Linked DNA regions of Diceros bicornis minor. The protein of the gene in region 2 interacts with the protein of the main gene of each other region in a pairwise test. Links are inferred from orthologs where the notes say so. Each region holds a gene or a part of one and is shown on either strand. Other genes may lie near its edges. The genes, in order: NFYA, POGZ and ZXDC.

Region 1 (8,033 bases), on a different chromosome or scaffold from region 2:
ATAGAACGTTAAGGAAGATAAAAGGGAGAAGAGGGACAAAGGACAGGATCTCTGTGAAAACGAAGTCGAGATGGAATGCTGCGAAATGCCAAGCTGACTGCAATTCAGGTCTTCTCAACATGCTGGTGGGAAACTTCAACCAGCCCACAACACTACTACCTGGCACCTTCCTTCCAACAGGTTATTATTGACCCTCAACATCCCCAGGGAAAAACAAAAGGCTTAAAATTGCTAATTTCATATAATGGGATAATTAAGTCCCCCCAAAAGTTGTGATTAAAAAAAAAGTTCCTGATACATAAGCCATGAACATATTAAGATCAGTGTAAGATGAGGGACCCTGAGCCACATTCATAAAGTAACTTGGGCTTAGAATAAACCTGCATGGTCAGCACTGACTCAAAACCAGAGTGAGAAGACAAGAAATGGTGACTCCAAGCCTATTTCCTGAAAAGGAAGCAAAGGGGATACTGAACCCTCAGTGTCATTCCCTTAAGTTCTCAATAGCTGGGATCTAAAATGTTACATCAGGAACATATTCTCTGGCTACAACCCACGCTGACCACAAACAAGCATGCAATTTAAAAGGCAGTGAGAATTTACAACTTTCTTCACATAGGATTAACAGGTTTGGGACATCTGAAGTGGCCCAGAGAAATCACAATTGCTCAGTCTTGGCTCTTTAGCTTATATTGCTTTAGAGAGAGCAGCTAAGCTTCAGATAGAGGATGCCCATAATTCAACCAAGGTGACTAACAATGGTTCCTCCCTACTAAGTAGGCTGAGGCAGGTGTGTGTTTTAATCATCCTGATTCATTCAACCCAGGCTAAGAAATAGGTATGCCTTAACTTAAGGCCTGACAACTGGTTCACTAGTGATTTTAAAAAGTTTTGAAATTTGTCCACCTTTAAGTCTATATTTTGGCTTAAGTTAAGCTTTTAAGTCATTTGTCTCCGGGTAAGACAGTAAACCCCACCACCTGAATTAAGTCTTCATTTAGGGCCCTGGATTTCCTTGCCTGGGCATGGAGAGGTCAGTGACTCCATTCTTCAGACAATGGGACTTCATGGCCTCTAAACTCTTCCGTAAGTTTTCATAAGTTGGTTTGTGTGAAGCCCTTTTCTTTGTAATCTGAGTACAAAGAACAAATTCAAACTTCTGTTAATCCAAAATGATAGCCAAAGAAAAACCATCACATTCTCCCAACATCCTGATAATTAAGTATATTTTTATAGAATAGTCTAGAGCAAGGATGACAAATGTCATAGACTGTCCCTTCCAGTTATGTGAGGCCCTCAGGAAAATCCACTAAATAGGGCCTGAGAAACCCAGACACTGCCATGTAATACTCTTTCCTTCTCCCAATAAGCCCAGGAGATTAGCAGGCTATGCCTATTGTCTAGTGTTTTTAAGCAAGGTAGGTGCAAGCCTTTGTGCCACTTCCAAGAGAGAAGCTGCATATCTGTAAGAACCCATACCACCTGAAAATTTCCTGTTAAGTCTATTTATTTAGAAACTGTGCTTGCTTGCTTTTTGTTTCTCTATAAGAGAACAGAGAAACTGGTAGCATTCCAAACCAGAAGTCCCATCGGCCTTAAAGACAGCATTCAAAGGGGCTAGGACATGTCCCCACTCAGCCTGCTATCCAAATCAGGCTTATAGTGAACTGGCTGTATGTCACCCAGCACCATCACCAAGAAACCACACTCTTTCTGGGGCTGAAGACCACTTGGACAGTGGAAAAATCCCATTGAGGCAGCAGGTGGGAAAGGAGCTGAGTATTACCTGGATTTGATAGGGAAGAATGAGAGAGAAACCTCCTTGGACAATCTGTCTCTTGAGACACTACTGTTTCTCTCTCACCATGATTAGGAAGGAATTAAGTACGGAAGGCATCCCTAACTTCTGCAAGTCTTAGAACCCAGGCCTTTGGCGGATGTCACGGTACTCTTTCCATGGAGCTGGGATGCAGCCTCATGTTCTTTCTAATCCAGTGCTCCAAACAGCCACCACCACTGGATCGAGATCAGAAGCTTTTGACATCCTTGGCTCGTCTAGACTGGAACATCACGATCAACACAATTGCAGTACAGCCCATTTGTTCACCAATCCTTAGAGCGTACTGAGAATCAGCCCCGTCTTACCAAGTAATATATATATCGCCCATCTCTCTTCAGCACAGCCACTTCTCCAGATTTCTTTTCTAAGAAAAACAGGTATTTAATAGCAGAAAGAAAAAAGAAAACCAAAACACTGATCTCCACTCTTAGATTTTTAAAAAATCTTTACAAATCTGAGTTTACCTCAGGAGAAATAATTTTCAACTCTGAAGAAACCTGCTGTCTCCTACGAACATTTTGCTCCTTATCGCCTTCCTAAATACTATATTCGTTAACTTCCAGCTTTCTTAATCGTTTTCCTCTCACCCCATCTTTTCTCCTGCCCCTATTTTCAAATACATCCTTATTTCTTCACTAAAGAAACTTTTATGTCTACTGCTTTGAAATGTTTTAGAATGTACAGCATTTTTTACTTGCCAAATGTGTATTCATTCAATAATCATCTTTTTTACATACAAAAAGCTAACACGTTAAGCATTATGGGGAAACAGAGGTATAAAAGAGTTCCTAATTAAACAGTTTTCAATCAAGAGTAGGTGTCATGTTTACAAATAACTACAATACAAAGCAGTAAGAAATTGCTCTTTTAAAGGCTGGGGTCAGAATCATCAGTGGAAACTGACTCCGTAAGCCTGGACTGTGGTCTGAGCAACTGTTTCAGAAGCTCCACAAGTGATGTGAATACACATCTCCGGTTTAAAACCATTGGTAGAAAAGTGATGGGAGGGTGTGTATAGGAAGAGGAGGTTTCTAAACTCCTCTTGGAAGAATAAGTACAATGTGGATGAAGAGAGAATCTTGAATGCCAAGCTAACACCTGTGGACTTTGCTAAGCACTTCAGAGTTATTAAAGGTTTCAGAGAAGTGGAGTAATATTATCAAGAAAGTTTTATGACAGAGGAGGAAGAGATTAGAAACTTTTACAATTCAGATTTGATGTGATAAGGACTCAGACTAGAGGCCATTTCTGTAGAGGAAACAATCTGAAGAGTTAAAAGTACTCAGCGATTAGGAACTCCCTCTTTGCATGTATATTTTGTTTAATAATTAAAGTATAACAGGAGGTCAAGAGATGCTCTAGCTAGGGCAGCAGACTTAAGCTGTTTTCAAAACTCACGTTGATTTATCAGTTCCTGCACTCCTCCAAATTTCTTCTTGAAGAGGACAGCTATCCCAGCACCCATTCGACAATCCTCACTGATACAGTGCGCTAAAGAGTCTGTTTTGGGGCATGCAAAGAGGTCTCCTTTCACATAAGTGATCTAAAACGTGCAAAAGGAAAGAAAATGTTTTATTAGATTCAAAAAAATATTAAGCTATTTCTCTCATTTTCCTTTACTGTGTCCCCCACTCCCTCTCCTCCCCTGCCCCTCCTTGATTTAAAGCCAAATCCTCAGAATTTAATTTAAGGAGTTAACGACCACGAATTAAAGCACGTGTAAAAGGCAAGAGCTGGATGGTCTCTGCCTAGCACTGTATTAGCCTTTCAGAAGTAAATCAGCTGGAAAGAGAAAAAAAAAAGGCAATTCAATTATTGCTTTAATTAAAAAGTGTTTATGCATTTGACCTCAATCTTTCTGAACTTCAGTTCAGCAATAAGTTAATAGTTGTTACGCACTCTGCTTCCTTCAGGATCTTCATTAGGGCTGCCGGCCATGATACTGAGTGGCTATTTCCAGAATGTGTTTCTTCAGCTATGAGAAGGAAAAGGAAGCTAGGATGCTTAGGCAGCCTGAACATATTATACATTCAGATTGCCCCGACCACGCACTTAATAATTTTCCCCCCCAACGTTTATCGCTGAATTTGAGTGCGTTCGGCCTCTAGAAAGTAACACAAAACTCTCTGGTGCAAGCAGCAGCAGCCTGCCTCCCGAGCCACGCCTCCTCCCTTCTCCCGCCCGAGCCAGGCGGGTTTAGGACAATCTCCTTTTTCCTGCACCGCGCACAAGCATTTCCCCAGTGGATCTGGCCTAGAAGCAAAAAGGAATGACCTGGCCACAGTCCCCTTAAGCCGCAACGAGGGAGTGCACCGGCCGGGGGGAGTGTCCCGCCGAGCCGCAAGCAGGGGACGGGGAAGGCTCACCTCCTCTTTTTTTGGGGGGAAGGAGTCTAGAGAACCTCCCCTTTTCCTACCCCAAGGCGGGTCAGCGAGGGCGTGGGGCCTGTCCTGGAGTCCCGCGGGAGGGAGCGAGGAGGCTCGCCCAGAGTCCCAACGTCCCGCGATTACCCTTCACCTGAAAAGGAGGCGGCCGTTAGGAGTCCCGCCCCGCGGGGAAGGGCTCCGGATCCGGCCCTGGTAGGTGGGGAGCGGGGGACGAGCCCAGACGCGGGACCAATCCCGCCACAGCCTTTAATTGCGCGCGCCTAAGATGGCCGCCCAACCCCGGGAGCGGGGCGGAAACGAGCCCCTCTAGCTAACTAGCCGAACCTCCACTCTTTGGTCGTGGCCGCCGAACTTCCGGCGGTAAATTCCGCGGAGTCTCCCGCCGCCGCCCGGGCATGCGTAACGACACAGCCCACCGCGAACGGGGCAGAACGGCGCTTGCGCATTAGCCCCAGGGGTGTGTCTCCAGTGGCCGCATAGAAGGGGGAGGGCAGTTGGCACAGGAGCTAGTTAGCGCCTGCGTAGTACTATGTTCAGGGCGGTGTTTGAGTCGAAGGGTCTGGCGCTTCCAGAAGGCGCCTGCGTAATCCTTCGGCGGGGGGGTGGTGTCAAATCGGGGAAGTGGGCGTGGCCGCAGGGGACGCCTGCGCAATGCTCCTTCAGGTGGGGGTGGGGCGAGCCCCGAGCAGAGGCTAGTGGGCGTGGTCTCAGAGGCGCCTGCGCGGAGGCGGTTGGAGGGAGGCCCGATTCCCCTTTGTTCGGGTTCGCCATTTTGCGAGGCAGCGGCAGTGGCGGCGGCAGCGGCGGCTGGAGCCTCTGATTGGGTTTCGGGGTCCGGTACTGGAGCCAATCAGCGCGGGCAGCGAACCGGGGGAGCGAAGCACGGTGAGCGTGAGGAGCCAATATCCAGCGGCCCAGAGCCGGCCCCAGCGCCCCGATTGGCGGGTCTCGCTGACCACTCAGGAGAGGCCCAGGCTCCCGTCGAGCCCGGGGAGTCGAGCTGAGCCTCGCCGAGCCGGGCGGCTGGCGGTGCGGCCCCGGAGCCTGCGAGCGCCCCGGGGCACTCCCGGCCGAGGCCTGCAGGGGGCCGCCCCGTGCGGGCATGGCGCCCTCGGGAGCCGGCACCTCGGGGTCCAGACCCCGGCGGGGTGCTGGTGCCGGTTGGGGATGCGTCCTCGTCCCCCGAGACTTAGGCCCAGGGTCTCAGACCCCAGGCTCGGAGTGGTGGGCTTGCCTGCCACGGATGCTCCTCCGCTCCGGCGCACACACGTGCCCGGGGCCTCGGCCGTTTCCTGCCGGTCGGTCGGGCCTCACACTTAAGCCTGCCCTTGCATCTTCCACGCTCCGGTCCTCGGGCCGGGCAGTCCTCCCCGCGGGGCCCGCGTCCCCAGCCCTCCGTGAGCCGCGTCTGCCGTTTGCAGCCCTCTGGGGTCGGGAGGGGGCCCTGGGTAGGACGCACGCGGCGGCCACAGGGCCCCGGGTGCGGCGGGAGAGGGGGCGGGCCCCCCCCGGCGCCCCGCGGGCCCTCCCCGCCGTCTCCCCGGCCGGGGAGGGGTCCGTTAGTGCGCCCACTCCCCTGCCCCGCCGCCCCTCCCGCACGCTCGGCCCGGGTCTTCGGCCCCGCGCCGTTACCACCCCCTTTTGGCTCGTCATTTCCTCTCCTCCCCGCCCCGCTCCCGGGGCAGCACCGCACACCTCCGGCTTGGAGTCCAACCAAGCGGTCTCCGTTTCTCGGCTGGGCTGTAAGGCCAGTCCATTCGGTGCTTGGAACCTCATCGTAGAAGACTGTTAGCCCTGCTCATTCCTTTTCCCGAAGGCTGCACAACCTGCTTTTCATACTAGTGTTACCCACTGCTCGTCTTGTGAACTCTCCCGTCCTTGGGAATGTACAGTTTTTTTCTTTCACCTTTGTGTCGCTTTGAATGTGTAAGGCTTGTCTCTTAGCTCAGTTCATAGCCATGTCTTGGTTTACTTTTTTTCTAATATACTTTCTAATCCCGTGTTAACGTTTTCTTAGCAGATGTTTATAGAAACTTAGTGTTGTGGGGTTTTCGTTAGGGTGGAAGGGACTCTCCATTGACAACCACGTCTCCAGCAGTTAGTATCCAGCGGGCATAGATCTGTGTCCTGGGGAGCAAGTAGGTAGAGGGAAATAAGAACCTTTTCCGCCTGGTGGAGATTGACAGGTGAACAGCTGATTAGTACCTAACGGCTGGTGCTGTAACGGGGCCAAGTTGAGTTCAGTGAAGGACTGATGTGTGAGCTACCAACAGCCTCCGTGGAAGGCTCAACATCGCCACACTTTCGATTGGCCATGAAGGACGATAGTATTTTTTCGGACAGGAAAGAATGGAAGAGCGTTGCTCACAAAGAAAAGAGCAAATTGTGCCGTGCGTTTGAGGCGAAGATAGGATAGGGCAGTGGGCAATGCTGGTGCGAGTTGAGACTGGAAAGCCGAGTTAGTACGAGCATTTGTATATCTTGATGAGGAATTTTGCGGAAGCAGTTATTTTGTGGAGGTTCAGATAGAAGAAATCTAGAAGTATGTTTTTTTCTAAGATTGGAAAAACAAGTTTCTGATTTGTGGGGTTCTGCCCGGTAACAGCAGCTGACTTCTTTGGGGGAAGAGAGGGAGATTTTTCTCCTAGGCCTTGAAAAGTTTTGACTCCTTTGAAGCACCTAGTGCAGTCGCTGGCACACAGAGTAGGTCTTCAGTATATGGTGCCCATTTTTATAATCACGTTTACTAAGATCATACAACTGGTAGGTTTCAGAAAACAACTAGTCCAGTGCTCTCTCTACTTGTCAAACTTTGGAAACAGTTTTTGTTTTCACTTTTTAGAATGTTTTTCATTGTTTAAATCGTTTTCTTAAATTCATTTAATTCTCGCTACATTATCCATATTAAAGGAGAAGCATGTCTTAGATAATTTTTAGAACACTTAGATTTGCCTTTGGAATAGATATTTTAACGTTGGTATTCAAAAACAGGTATATCTGGTCACTTGACAACCATCCAACACTTTCACTAGACTTCTTTCTAGAAGGCAGTTATAGTCTGGTCACTTTTTTGCTGAACACCTCTAGGGCCTCCACCTGTCTGCAAGAAGAACTTCTTTGCCTGGAATTTTGAGAACAGTGGTCTAGCCGCCAGCCTTCTCTTGACATGGGGCCTTTTAGTCTACTGTTCTATGCTGAAATTTTTCTGTCCTTGTTTTTATGCTCTCTCTTCGTTTGGAGTACTCTGCCCCCTCCCACATCATCATATAGTATAAATCCTCCTCACACTTAAGACCAGGTCAGATGTCACGTTTTCCTAAAGCTTTTCTTGATTTTTCTATTCCCAGCAGGAAGAAATCTCTGTCCTCACAGAGAAATCTCTGTTCTCCAAAATCCCGTATTACCTTCTTCCTCTTTTAGGGTTCTAGTACATTTTTACCCCTTCACTAAACTTAAAGACTCTTTGAAGTTAGAATCTTTGTCAGAGTTTTCTTTTTATTTCTGAAACCTTCAGGACAGTGTCTGGCACATCATTAGTGGAGAGGAGGAGCAAATTAGGAACTCCAATCCAGAAACCTCAGACAGTGCAGAAGCTGGACACGCTGTGTTCTCTAATCTTTTATCAAACAGATCAGGACCCATTGGTTGCATTGTGAAATCAATTTAGTGGGCCAATGCTGATATTTTTTTGTAATAAAATAGAAAATATCAAAGTGCATCTTATGTTACATAAAGATAAGTATTCGTGAAACGTTTGTTTCAGTTACTTTTTTTATATGTTGTGTGTGCAGTGATTTGTGATACGA
Region 2 (7,493 bases):
CTAGCTTAATGAAGGCAGTCACATTCTCATAGCTGTTTCTGCATTCAGTCTGTTGCTATATGTTGTTTTGGTTAAGTTTATAACAAAGATCTTGCCTCACACAGTAGGAAAAGGGAGAAATATTCTATAAACCTTTTCAGATAACTGTTTATATTGACAAAATACTAAAACTCAACAAATGGCAGTTTCTTAAAGGATAATTGCATCTTGGGATCTGAAACCATATCAATGAACTTTTCGTACTTCGTGACATTAAAATCTACTGGTGTATCTTACATTTTGAAAGGTTCTTTTCACCCACGGTGATTTTAAAACGTCATGCATTGGTCATTGGGAAAATAGAGATTTAGTGAGTTATGCCAATCTTCCAAATGTTGATACATTTCATTATACAATATTTTTAAAAAATCACAGTCATTAATTAACACCGATATTATAAGAAAAATCTTTCAAATGCTATAAAGCTGTCAAACTTGAGATGTCAACTTTTTAAAAATTCTCATTTTCACTCTCAAATTTTTATCATTGGTAACAAATACCGTCAAGTGTTTTCCTCAAAGTGATAAGCTCACTTTATTTATTTTCAAGAAAACACGCGCCAAACACTCAAGTGTGAAAAACTGTCGTTTGTCATTCTTTCAAGTAAAAACGCTGTTCCACGAAATGAGCAGCTTTCAACTCAATCTCCTAAGTGCTTTTCCTTATGACAAGGCTCATATCTGAGTAGGCAGCATTAGGCGCTTTATGCCTACTTCCCATTTGGTCACAGATTCTTAAAAATTAGAGACACGTACTCAAGGGCTGAGATTTAATAAAATCAATCATTTTTTACTGCTTTATCAACAACATTCTCAAGTAACTAATAACAGAGTTTCATGCAACTGCCTTGCTTTGTGCTAAAGCGCCACCAGTAGTTTCACCCAGCACTGCTTTAGGACTATCAGTGCAAACAACAGTGATAAAAATAAATAGCATCTTATATGACCTCGTGGCTCCTCTGAAAAGGTCTAAGGGGATCTCCAGGGGTCAGTGGACCACACTTTGAGAACTGCTTTCCTAGATTATACCATTGGTTCAAAGTGAGTGTAGAAACTCTAATAAAATCCTGTGCATCTCGACTCTTCATTTTGTCAGTTCCTTTACTTTAAGATATACCAACATCACAGCTGGTATAACCGTAATACAGAAAAAGGGAAGGAAATAGAGGGCACAGATTGAATTTCATTGTTTTAAGATTATGTTTTGAGCACTTCTATGCTAAACTAATAATTCTCAACGAAGGACTGCAGGTTAAATGTAGAGAAGATGACACCCCCCTCCCCATCTCACCCAAAGAGACTTGGGGATGAGGCCCTCACAACCGCACTTCCAGCAATCTACAAGGTATTTTTTATGCACCCCTAAGTTAAGAACGATTGTGAACACCTCGAATTCAGAGTCCAACTACCAGTCCCAAGAGCAACGGATTCCAAATTCAGTGTCATTCGCCAAGAAGCAACCCTCCCCGCCCCCGTCCTTTCCCTTTCATCTACATGGGAAAATTCCTTAGAAAGTAAAACTCCGTTTCTGTGGGGTTTTGAGCTGCGGTGGGAGGTGTCTTTTTAAAAGAATGTAAAGGGCTGGGCTCCAGTCTGCAACACGAAGACAGCTATTCTGAGATAGTACAACTTATCTCGATTTCCATCTGGAAAACGAGACTGGGCTAAACAACTTAGAAGACTCTTTTCAGCTCTACCCTTTTCTGAGCTAAGAATGTCCAATATAAGAGAGCTGAGAAACGTCCAGCGTTATCAACAGTTTGAGAGAATCCCGCCTCTAACGGGAGAGGAAATCAGGACAACTCGCAGAAAAGAGGGACCGCAGGTGGATCAGCGACGTCACTCCTTTTCAGTAGGTGCTAAGATTCCAGAAAATAGTCCCTGGGATAAACATGGCGCCCACCGCGGCAGGATATAACCATCAGAAAATAAAAATTCTCTACCCCATCCCATTTTATAAATCACGGCGCCATCCCAAAGAAATTTTAGGGCCGAGGGAGGAGACTTTGTAAACTAACTGCAGTGCACTAAAGCTTGGGATGTGCGATTGGTCCGAGCGGGGATTACATAACGCAGGGGAGCGGCTCACCAATCACTCATTTTGCTGCTCACGCTCAAAAAGAGCGCCCCACTCCTTCCCCGGCGGGGGTGAGGCGGCAGGGCCGCGCACTACACCTCCGTCGGGGGACGTGACCCCGCCCCCCTCCCCGCGCGCGGCCTCGCCCCCTCGCCCGCCCCTCCTGCCGCGCCCGCTGCCTCGCCGCCGCCCGCGCCCCCGCCCCTTCCCCAGCGGGCCGCCGCCGCCCGCGCCCGCGCCCGCCCACTCCTCCGAGACGCCTCGCGCCGGGCGTGCGTGTGGACGTCGTGTGTGTGGGGCCGTGGGGCCCGAGTGCGCGCGCGCGCGCGCCGCGGCGGGCGCCGGGGGGCGGGGGTGGCCGGCAGGGGCCTCCCCGGCCGGCCCGCCGCGCACCTCCCGCAGCTCCCGGGGCGCACACGCACACACACACGCGCTCCCGCGCCGCACCCCACGCCCGCCGCCGCCGCGGGCCGCGCCGCCACTCGCGGGGGGCGGAGGGGCGCGCCACCGGGCCCCCGCCCCCACCCCTCGTACCCGCCCCATCCCCCTCTCATTGTCTCGCCTCGGAACGCCTCGCCGAGCGAAAAGATAACGGAACCCCCGGGAACAGGGGGTGGGGAGAGAGAAGGCTCGCTCGCTCACTCACCTCCCGTGGTCGTCGCCGCCGGTAGTCTGACCCGAGGAAGGCGCCGTCGCCTTAAAGGGACCTTGCACCCGGCGCCGGGAGAAGGGGGTGGGAGCAGGGGAGGGGACGGGGGCTTGGGGGTAGACGGAGAAGAGGGAACCGTTGAAAGCTCGTCTCCCGGAGGGTGAAAGGAAACCTCCCTCAGGTTCGAGTGACTTGGGGTGGATTTTTTTCCCGAGGGGGGCGGGGGGGGGGCCCCGAGGGAGGGGGGTGGGGGGGCCAAGGAATGCGGCTCCGTGTACGGGAGCTGGCGCGGGGGAGAGAGACGCCGACTCCCCCCACCGACCCTCTCGCCCCGCGGAGGGATACGGCTCGTCACTTCCGCCCTCCCCCTTTCGTGGCCTTTCAATTGGTTGAAGCGCATGACACGTCATGGGCTCATCCTAACCCCTGCCCGGGCTTCTTTTCTAGTCAAGTTTGTCTGGGGCTGCGAATAAATAAATAAATAAAAACATTTTTTTAAATGAAATAAAGAATAATTAGCTTCAGAAACAATATCTAGGTTTGGGTGAGAAAAATGGAATTTCTAAAGAAAATATTCCCCAATTCACTTGCCTGGACTTTCCAGGAAATTTTGGGAATCTCCCCACTTTCCACTCAAAGCAAGAGGGGAACTTCATGCCACAGGCCAGATGGTGAGGCCCAATGGCACCAAGAACTGTCATTGGAACAAAGGCAGCAAAATGGCACTCACTTTTCCTCAAGAGACATTCAACCAAGTAGTCTTATGGCAGTAGCCTTAAGTGAAGAAATTTTAAAAACCATTTTTACCCTGAACCTTTCTGGATTCTGGAAAGAAGTCACACATGATTGCTTATCAAGGTGATTCATGTATGTAAACTGCTTTGAAACCATGGTAAATAGACTCAGCCAAGATGCTCAGTTCTAAGAAACTGTAGACTCCACATCTGTGCTTTTTGCTCCAATCAAGGCTGAGACGGATTGGTCCAAAGAAATTGATTAGTCTAGTCAAGACCATCCACCTGTTGTTTTTCTCCAAACAAAAACTAACCTCGTTTCCGGATAGCTAAGAGATTTTGTCATTTATTACCTCCCCAGATGATGGTAAAATTTTAATATTTTCCTTGGTTATTTGAGGATGTTGTTGCTCTTTAAGCAATACACAAATATTTGCTCCAAACCAAGTGCTAAATGTTGGTGCAACATTGGGGAGATCCAGAACCATATTTATTCCTTCTCTTTACATACACACTCTATTCAAACATCAGACTACAAAAATAGGCAGTGGAAGTAGGCATTCCAAATTATGCACCATGCACATGGCTGCACGTGCCACCACCCATTTTCTTTCCACTTCATACCAAAAACATGTGAGTGATTTCAACTAGTCATTCTTAGAAAGAACTTCATTATTTGAATTGAAAGAATCACTAAACCTCTGAAGCCTTTCCAGACCTGGTCTGGAAAAGCCCATAGTGGGATTATGGAATCAATCACCAAAAGACAAATTCTATATGAAGTTGTAATCCTATTTTATGCTTTCCTACAATAATTATTATAATTCATTACAACATAATTTGCCTCTGAAATATTCTTGTTGAAACATATTTTGCCATGCCCTAAGTGCCAGCTCGTGCTATCTGCCAATGACATCTAGGCCAGCAGACTGTACCATGTACTGTTGGCCAATAACCATTAGCATACCATATTGAAAATGCATCATTCATTCAACAAATATTTACTGAGTACTTGCTATATGCCAGGCACTGTTCTCAGTGCTGGGAATACAGCAACAAAGAAAACAAACAAAATCCCTGAACTCATGAAGCTTATACTGTAGTGGGGAGAGACATACAATATACACATAAACAAATTATTCCAATATCTACAGTTGAATAACAAATGGTCCCAAAACCTAGTGGCTTAGAACAACAACAATTTTATTATTATCTCTCATGGTTCTGGGAGATGATTAGGCTAAGCTAAGCGGTTCTCACTTGGAGTCTCACGCAGTGGCTGGGGCTGAAGTCAACTCAAAAGCTTCCTCAAAAGTCTGGAAGTTGATGATGACTGTTGGCTTGGACTGCAGCTGGTGCTGTTGGCCAGAACAGCTGGCTGTTGGCCTCTCCATGTGCCTGGGCTTCCTCATATCATAGTGGTTGAGTTCCAAGATTGAGTGCCCCACGAGGACCAGGCAGTGGTTGTATGGCTTTTTGTGACCTAGCCTCAGAGGTCACATAGCATCACTTCCACTATCGTTACAGGCTCACCTCGACTCAAGGCGAGTGGGGAACATCTCTCAAAGGGAGTAGTAGAAACATCACATTGTAAGAAAAGTATTTGGAATGGGAATGTTATATATTAATAAATATATAATATGTGATATGGTGATAGGTGCTATGGATGGGGAAAAGGGCAAGATGGGGGAATTGGGAGTGTGGTGTGGGGGTGGGGAGGTGTTATTTTTTGTGGGGTGATTGGAGATGCTTTGTCATTAAGGTGACATTTGAGCACAGACCTGAAGAAAGTGAAGCCAAGTTCAGGTTTTACTCTTAGTGCAAGTGAAGTCGTTGGAAGATTTTAAGCCAAGGAGTGATATGACTTGGCTAACATGTTTAAGGAACACTCTGGCTGCTTATAGAGAATTCCTTGTAGAGACGAGAGTGAAAGCAGGGAGACGAGTTAGGAGGCTCTTGCAATAATCCAGATGAGAGGTGATGGTGGCCTGGACCAGGGTGGGAGCTGTGGAGCTGCTACTTCAGCTGAGTGAGTTCCGTGGTGTGTTGTTTACTTCTCTGTGACTTATTTTTCTATTATTTAGTTTTGGCCATGGGAGACAGTTTTGACCCATAATGGCTAGCAAAATGTGTATGAGGGATAGTGCTGTGCCTACCACAGAGAAATAAAGTTAGAATATTGTGCTGAATGTTAACATAGGAGTTTTGTGGGGGCTGGAGGCACCCTTGAGTAAAGAATTCAGAAAACAAGAGTAAGGATCAACAATCAGGGAATGGAGTAAGCTCTTTGACATTATAAAAGGTATCCAAACTGCCACCGTCTGGGAGGATCAATCAACAGTTGAATGACTGATAGCTGGAAGAAATCAAGGGTAGAGACATTTTATAACTTCAGAGGATTTGAAGAAAATTCTACCACCTTGCAACACTGGAGCAGCATCTCAAAAAAGACTATAGTGTTAGCGCTCCCATTTCCAGGAACGTATTCCCCGTGCTAAAGAGGGAACGTCCATATTAATCTGAGCAGTGTTGGAACATTTTGCTATCGTCAGCTAACACACAAGTTTCTGGAGTGAAGCAGTAGAACTGATAGCTGTGGTTTCTCTTATACTTGAACCATCTTGATAATGATGGGAAACAAAGCAGCAGAACAAATAACCTGGGTCGAATCCTTAGAAATCAGTTCACATGTGCCTCTGTGACATATTGGGGCGAGGTCTGAAAGCCAATCTAGTTGGGTATATTGAAGAAATTGAACCCTAATACTGCTGCTAAAAAGCTACGCCAGTCTTCAGTAGCCAACTTAGAAAAAAGGAATCCTCTCCGTATGGGTTTCTAGGAAGGAAGGTCAAAAGTTAATGGAAGTCCCAAGTTATGCATTTCACAGTTAGGTAGCAGAAGAGTATTTCTTTTCTACAGTCTATGGGAACACTTATTTGCTTCCTTGGCTTATGGTTTCTGCCATGAGTTGAAAATTGGAACCACCTGTAGCTTGGACAGTGTCAAGGCAGAGAGACAAATGATTTCAGCATGTCTTCAAAAGCAGTGAGCCATGGGTGCCTCTCTGCTGTCATTTTGCTACTATACAGACCCAATCACTGACTGCTCAGGTTCAGTGTGAGGCTAACCAGTACGTGTTGAGGTGGGGAGTAGAGAGGATTGTGAGGTCAGTCCAGGCAGAAAGCAGCTTTGTGGGGGACAATGCCAGATTTCTTTAAAAACAAGCATCCTGCTCTACAACACACACTCAGGGTGGTTCAAACCAGGAGCTCAAAGGGAGCTACTCATTTTGGAAGATTTTTTTTTTGTGTGTGAGGAAGATGGGCCCTGCGCTAACATCTGCCAATCCTCCTCTTTTTTTTTTTTTTTTTCGCTGAGGAAGACTGACCCTGGGCTAACATCCATGCCTATCTTCCTCTACTTTATATGGGACGCCGCCACAGCATGGCCTGACAAGCGGTGCGTCGGTGCACGCCCGAGATCCAAACCGGCAAACCCCGGGTCTCCGCAGCGGAACGTGCGCACTTAACCGCTTGTGCCACCGGCTGGGCCCTCATTTTGGAAGATGTAAGAGACAGAAAAACAGTGGAGAAATTTTCACCATCTGAGCATCTCCCAGCTCAGAAAGATTGACAGCTGATCGCACTGAGCCTGGGAGTCAAGAGAAGTCAACGTGTATGAGGACACTGAAATGCTTCACTTGACGGGGAAATAGAAAGCAAACGCTGGTCTATGTGTGGCCAGTGTCAAATACAAAATGGGGACTCGGAGGCTGCTGCTGGGCTTCATTTAGGAATTTTATTTGCCACCTCCTTATGTTTAGAGGAGCTGAGGACTTTCCTGGGGGCTCAGAAAATTCTCAGGAGATGAGAAATAGCCAGAGGAAGTTTTAAAACTGGGTTTCTAAAAGAAGAGTTCCTCATTAGCTTTCATTAAGAAGCAATTGAAAGTCTCTGTCTTCAAAATGTATTTTGCAAGAAATGCATGAGCAGCAA
Region 3 (7,010 bases), on a different chromosome or scaffold from region 2:
AATCAGATCCTAAGGAACAAGATTTTGTCTGGTCGGGTTCAGTGTGGAAGGGCCACAAACCACTGCGAGGCTGAGACTTTTTCACCCACCCCTGGGGGCGATGCTGCATCCCCCACACTTACAAATGTCCTCCCTGACACCTTCCGCAACTGGCGGCCCCACCTCTGTCATCGGGCTTCTCTCTCTTCTTGCCCCTTTCCTCAGGGTTCCCTGCCCTGTCAAAGGAGGTTTCCGAGGTCATCTTTCCTCACATGGCCTTTCCCATCACCTGCACCTTCAACCCCCAGCTGAGCCACCAGAAAGGGGCCTACCTCAGCAATTTCCAGACTTCCCACATCAGTAGTTCTCCTTTGACCCAAAGGTTCAGTGCTCAAATCGGGTGGAAAACGTCACGTTACAAGATGTTTATCAGATGTCTTTGTCACAGCTCTTCTCAGAGCCTTTAACATGCTACCATCGCATCTGTAACCACACTCTGCACAGCACCGCATAAAAGTACTAGCCCAAGCAGCCCTGCTCTTCCGAGCAACACTCAACTGGGAAATGCTGACCTTCCTAAACACCCTAAAATCCTCCCCTTTTGCATAAATCTGCCCGCCCTCCCCTCCCATTTTGGGTTTTGGTGTATTCACACAGTCTGTCAGGTAAATCTGAACAGGCTAAATCTCTCTGCCTTAGCAAGAACCACCCTCCGCACAATGGACCATCACAGCCTTCAATGCTGCCTCCTCACCATTGCCACTGCCTCTACCTACATCTGCCTTCAGGAAACTCAGGTTTGGAACACTTAATGTGGGCTTCACTGGTCCCTCTCCTGCTTCTACCATCTCCAACGCTGATGCCCCACTCACCATCCAACTCAAAACCCTCAGGGGGACCTCAAGCCCTAGACCAGGCTGGACTCCCAGTATTATACTCAGAATGACGCTCTTCGTGCATTTTACTAGGGAGCGGCCTATAAGCCACCATCAGATTCCCAGAGCATATGACCAAGAAAGGTTTTGAATCAGTGGCCTAAACCCACGCTCTCCACAAAGAGGAACGCACAAGACAGTGCATGGGCATGTAGGAAGAAAATATTAAATCTCGTTGATATTTTTCATTTCACCCTTTCAAAATCCCCACATTTGAGTATATTTCATAACACATCATTAGGACAGAACTGCATATATGTAACAAATCAATATGCACGTTGGGCGCATGCTGGGCACACTTGAGTTTCTGTTGTAATGTACGGGATGTGGAAAGTCCTTCACCCTCTACTTGGCCCTTCCAACTTCACTTCCCACAGGCCCTCAGCACAGCCCACATGCCCTGCCTTGGCTCTGTGGTTTCACCCACCAGCACTGCCTTCCACCCTAGTCCCCCAAACCAACTCTTTCCCAGGCAGGAATCTCCTCTTCCTCCTCCGAAGGCACACTCTCCCTCTTAGAGCACCTACACCTGCCTATCCTGGTGAAGAGCTCTCTGTGTGGAGCCTCACATTCCCCACACTGGGGGCGATCACAATGGAGCAAGAACCCTCCACTGGATTTTTTCCACGTTGCTCAGTATTGGTCTCTTCATCTGTAAAATCAGGATAATTTTTAGAACTTCACAGAAGTGTGAAGTCCAAAGGAAATAAAAGTATAACAAGCAGAAAACTGTGACGAACCATGCACCTGCGATTATGCCCTCAGCGCCTAACAGTCTTGCATCTGGCCAGATTCACCCGGGTTCCCGTGTTCGCGGGGGTGAGGGGGTGTGCACCCCGTAAGCGTCTGACGACTGAATATTTTTAAATGACAAGACAGAGGGAAAGACCTGACTCATAACTCAAATCACTGGGAAGATGCGCTATCACTTTCATTAACCGGAGGCCCCTTCAGAGCTCTGTTGTCCTCACCGTGGGGAAGGACGGCTGTGATTATTCGTGCTACCTCGCTGTCGAAACCCCCGCAGGGTTAAGGTGTCAAATCGAATCAGCTGGAAACACCAAGAGCACAAACACCAGCGTGCTCCGTTCCCGCTCCTCACACCTGGCCCACCGAGTTCCGATCCTGCCCAGCAGAGCAGCCGGGGGCGGGCGCCGCCGCACCCAACCGAGCGACTCCACTCGGACCCGATCCCCCGGGGCCCCCCGCAGCCCGCGGCGCGCGGTTACCGGGAAAGTCGCACTTGTAGGGCCGCTCGGGCTCGAAGTGGCTGCGCTGGTGGGAGCTGAGCTTGGCGTGCGTGGGGAAGCGCTCGGCGCACACCTCGCACTTGAACAGGCTCTCCTGCTCGTGGCCCTTCATGTGCGCCTTGAGGTTGTACACGGTGGTGAACTTCTTGCCGCAGCCGCCCACGGGGCAGCCGAAGGGCCGCAGCTTGTCGTGCGACTGCAGGTGCCGCTTGAGCTTGTAGGAGGTGGTGAAAGCCCAGCCGCAGCCGTCCAGGGGGCACTTGAAGGGCCGCCGGCCCTGGCTGCCGCCGTGCGTGAGCAGGTGCACCTTGAGCTGGTGCTTCTTGGCGAAGGAGAGCGCGCACTGCGGCTCGGGGCAGCGGTAGCCAGGGCCCGGGGGCCCGCGGCGGCGCGCGTCCGGGCTCGCGGCCTCCTCGCTGGGCGGCGCGGGCGGGCCCTGGGGCGGCGGCGCGGGCGGCGCGGCCAGCGTGAAGACGCCGCGGTCGAGGCGCACGAGCAGGTCCCGGCCGTGCGAGGGGTCGCCGCCCGGCCCGGGGGAGGCGGCCGCGCCGGTGGGGCCCTGCGGCGGGCGGCGGGCGGGGCTCGCGGCGACGCCGGGAACGGGCTCCCGCCGCCCGGGGACCTCGTCCGAGCCGGCGCGCGCCACCTCCAGCAGCACCACGAAGGAGTCGCCGCCGTCCTCGTGGGGCGGGCTGGGCGCGGGGCCCGCCGCCGCCGCCCCGGCCTCCCCGCGCCGCGGCCCCGGCGCGCCGTCCTCGGGGCCCCGCAGCAGCAGCAGGCGGCGGCGCGCGGGGCCGGGGCCGGGCGGCGCAGGACCTCTGCGCTGCTGGCCGGGGCCGCCGCCGTCGCCATGTTGGGCTCCGCGCGGGGCCGGGGCGGCGAGCAGCGCCGGGAGCTCCATCTTGGGCCCAGCAGCACCGTCGCCCCGCCGCCTCGGAGGAAGCGCGCCCCGCCCCTCCCAGGCGTGCGCGACGCCGTGTGGCCCCGGTGGGCGGTGCCAAGGCCCGGCTCGGAGCGCGGCGCGGAGTCCGGCCCCGAGCTGCGCGTGCGCGGGAGGCGGCGGCGGCGGCGGCGGCGGCGGGGGGAGGTGCTGCGCGTGCGCGGGAGCCGGGGGGCGGTGCGTCGCGCGAGGCCTGCTGGGCCTCGTGACGTCAGGCGCTCCGGCGCGGCCCCGCCGGCGCTCCGCGGGTCGGGCCCTCGAGAGCTTGTGCGGGTTCCCTGTCAGTCCTGGCCGTTGTCTTGGTAGGGAAGCAATCGTAGCAGCCAGCGGTCCTCGCCCTCACGGCTGTGAGGAAAGCGAGTCACGGAGAGCGCAGAGCCGGGAGCAGGGGACCGGGGTTCCGACACTTAGTTTCTGCCGGCCGGCTGGACGCCTGCCCCCGCGAGCTTGCTGCGCTCTAGCCCCGCGCCGGCTCCGGACCTGGCCTGCAGGGCCCTGAGCCTGTCCCTGCGTTTCTCCTCCTGTTCCCGCAACCGGACGCAAACCTCTGTGTCACTCCTGGTTCTCGCAGCTGGTCGTCGGCCTGCCTCACTGCTGCCAGTCCTCTCTCCCGAGGCCGACTTGGTGACCTTCTGAACTATGCCCCTCCTCCGTGCGCCCCGGGGCTCTTGCCTCGCTAGTCTTCCCTCAGTGCGCGCCTTTTTGCCCGCGTTTCTCGCCCCTCTGCCCCATCTGTTTCCCAGTTTCTCCAACAGGGCCAACTGGCTGTGCCTCACGCACCTTGCCCGCTGGTCTCCGATTCCCCTGGGAAGACTTAGGTGGCCTTCTCGTCCAAAGTACGTCCTCATCCAGCTCCTTCTCCTCGCCTCCTCCCCCCTTGTTTCCTCGCATAGCTCCCAGTTGCAATTGCTTTATTTGTCCCTTTCCCTACTAATTCACTGTGCGCTCCTCTAGAATATAGCCTCCTCGAGGACAGGGTCTCATTCACAGCTGTATGCCCAGAGACCAGCGTCGAAGACTCTCAGTAAATATTTATTGAATAGATGAATGTTTTATTATTAAAAGTACTTTAAAAATAAGGTACATCAATAATATTGAAAAAAAAATGGGAAACATCTTTATGAATTTATGCCAAAAATATATTTTTCCAAGACCATTCAATGGAGGAAAGAATAACCTTTTTAACAAATAGTGCTGGGACAACTGGATATCCACGTACAAAAGAATGAAGTTGGACCCATACCTCACACTAGACACGAAAAGTAACTCAAAATGGATCAAACGCCTAAATGTAAGATCAAAAACTAAAAAATCATTAGGAGTAAACAGGTGTAAATCTGTGTGACCTTGGATTAGGGAATGGTTTCTTAGATATGAAACCAAAAGCAATGAAAGAAACAAATTGGGCTTTGTCAAAATTAAAAACTCTTTTAGGTCAACACCAACAAGAGAGTGAAAAGACGACCCGTAGAATGGGAGAAAAATCTGCAAATCATATATCTGATAATGATCTATCCAGAATATATTTAAAAACATAAAAACTCTTACAACTCAACAACGAAGAGACAACCCAATTTAAAAACAGGCAAAGGATTTCAATGGGCATTTCTCCAAAAAAGAAATACAAATTGTCAGTAAGCACACAAAAAGATGCTCAACATCACTAGTCATTAGGGAAATGCAAATCAAAACCATAATGAGATAACACTTCATACCCACTAACATAGCTATTTTCTAAAATGGAAAAGAATAAGTGTCCGTGAGAATGTGGAAAAAATGGAACCCTCATACATTTCTAGTGGGAAAGTAAAATGGTGACGCTGCTGTGGAAAAAAGCTTGGCAGTTCCTCAAAAAATTAAATATAGAATTTCCATATGACCCAGCAACTCCACTCCTAGGCATATACCCAAGAGAAATGACAACACATCCACACAAAAACTTGCTTATGAATGTTCATAGAAGCATTATTCATAATACTACATAATAAAAATGGAAACAACCAAGCGTCCGTCAACAGATGAATGGGTAAACAAAGTGTGGCATATCCATACAATGGAAAATTATTCAGCCACAAAAAGGAATAAGTACCAATACATGCTATATCATGGATGAACCTTGAAAACATGCTAAGGGAAAGAAGCCAGACACAAAAGACCACATATTGTACGATTCCATCCACATGAAATGTCCAGAAGAGGCAAATCCCTAGAGGCAGAAGGAGATTGATGGTTGCCAGGTGATAGAGAGAGGGGGCGGGAATTAGGAGTGACTGCTAATAGCTGCGAGGTTTCTTTTTGGGACGATGGAAATGTCCTGGAGTTAGACAGTAGTGATGGGTACACAAACAGTGAGTAGACTAAAAACCACTGAAATGATGACTTTTATGCTCTATATGTCTCCACTAAAAATATATTGTTAGGAAAAATCAATGCAGAACATTGTTTAGGAGGATCCCAATTGTATAGGAGGGAAAATTACACATATGTTCACATACTTGCATATCTTAGAAAGTTTCTGGAAAGATACACAAGATAGTGCTAGTCCCTGTGTCTGTTTCTGAAGTAAGGGGGGATCTAAAGATCATGAGTGCTGTTAAAGTAATTTTTATGATTAAATATTTCTTCCACTATGGAAGCATAATGGCAGTTCCTCAGAAAACTAAACATAGAATTACCACATGACCCAGCAATCCCACTTCTGGGCATATATCCATACACCCGTGCTCACAGCAGCGTTATTCATGGTAGCCAAGAGGTGGAAGCAACCCAAGTGTCCATTGAAGGATTACTGGATAAATAAAATGTGGTCTATCTATACAGTGGAATATTGTTCAGCCTTAAAAAGGAAGGAAATTCTAACACATGTGACAACATGGATGAACCTTGAGGACACTATGCCAGGTGGAATAAGCCAGTCACAAAAGAACAAATATTATATGATCTCACTTACATGAGGTATCTAGAGGAGTCAGATTCATAGGGACAGAAAGTAGAATGGGGGTTGACGGGCTGGGGGAGGGCAACGGGGAGTTAGTGTTTAATTAGTACAGAGTTTCACTTTGGGAAGATGAAAAGAGTTCTGGAGATGGATGGTGGTGATAGTTGAACAGTAACGTGAATCTACTTAATGACACTTTGAACTGCATGCTTAAAAATGGTTAAAATGGTAAATTTTATGTCATGTATTTTACCACAATAAAAGAAAAAAGAAAAAAAATTTAATGAAAAACATTTGGTGGCAATGTGGATGAGTTTCTCCTCTTCTGTTTTTCAGCTTTTCAAGAGTGACTTATGTATTTTTAAAAAATTTTAAATGAGTGAAATTGGCCTTATTGAATGTTTGGAAAGGACTTGTCTTGCTCTTCCTACCACCCTCGGTTCTCTGTTGCTGCAACAAATGACAGGGTTTACAGTGAGGGGCAGATGTGCTCACTTGCATGCTGGGCTTGAAGGGTTGCTGTCATTGTCCGGTGGTGTCTCAGGCAGAGACAGGAACTCCATATTCTAAAGAGATTCCTCCCACATTGGGAGGGCCACAGAGCACTGCCTGTTAACCCCCAATCACCCAGACCCCGTACTCTCCAAGCAGGGGTGTGTAGAACGTGTTTTGGGGCAGCCAGGGGAAGAGAAGCAGATAACACACGTGCTCTTGTCATGCTTGTTTGCATTTGGGGAGAAATCCCACCAGCCCGATGTTGGTGGATGTCCAGCACTGCTGATGGGCTGAAAGGCATCATAGTGGACTTTGAGTTGCCCACGTAAGTGTGCAGGACTTCCCAAGCTCTTGCAGGAGTGGGCATGGGCTGGGGTTGGGAGTCCTACCATGTGGCTTTTCCCCAACATCACCAAGCAATTACCTCAATTCTGACATTGTCTGCCTGGAGATAGCTTCAGATCCCACAGGCT

What was found.
Region 1: the proteins of POGZ (region 2) and NFYA interact in binary tests that used the Homo sapiens proteins (3 or more experiments, as listed by UniProt). The two-hybrid records come from large-scale screens. The link is inferred for Diceros bicornis minor from reciprocal best matches to the Homo sapiens genes POGZ and NFYA.
Region 3: the proteins of POGZ (region 2) and ZXDC interact in binary tests that used the Homo sapiens proteins (3 or more experiments, as listed by UniProt). The link is inferred for Diceros bicornis minor from reciprocal best matches to the Homo sapiens genes POGZ and ZXDC.

The regions. Positions count from the first base shown.
Region 1 is NC_080753.1:24,261,624-24,269,656, reverse strand, and holds the start of NFYA (nuclear transcription factor Y subunit alpha), read left to right. Parts: upstream 1-5,022; 5' UTR 5,023-5,112; exon of another isoform or gene 5,113-5,663; intron 5,664-8,033. Other genes in the region: ADP-ribose glycohydrolase OARD1, read right to left, coding at 1,020-1,132, 2,146-2,204, 3,239-3,383, 3,740-3,778. UniProt on the Homo sapiens protein: Component of the sequence-specific heterotrimeric transcription factor (NF-Y) which specifically recognizes a 5'-CCAAT-3' box motif found in the promoters of its target genes.
Region 2 is NC_080743.1:55,723,701-55,731,193, forward strand, and holds the start of POGZ (pogo transposable element with ZNF domain), read right to left. Parts: upstream 3,044-7,493; 5' UTR 2,762-3,043; intron 1-2,761. UniProt on the Homo sapiens protein: Plays a role in mitotic cell cycle progression and is involved in kinetochore assembly and mitotic sister chromatid cohesion.
Region 3 is NC_080741.1:90,769,945-90,776,954, forward strand, and holds the start of ZXDC (zinc finger protein ZXDC), read right to left. Parts: upstream 3,104-7,010; 5' UTR 3,066-3,103; coding exon 2,144-3,065; intron 1-2,143. UniProt on the Homo sapiens protein: Cooperates with CIITA to promote transcription of MHC class I and MHC class II genes.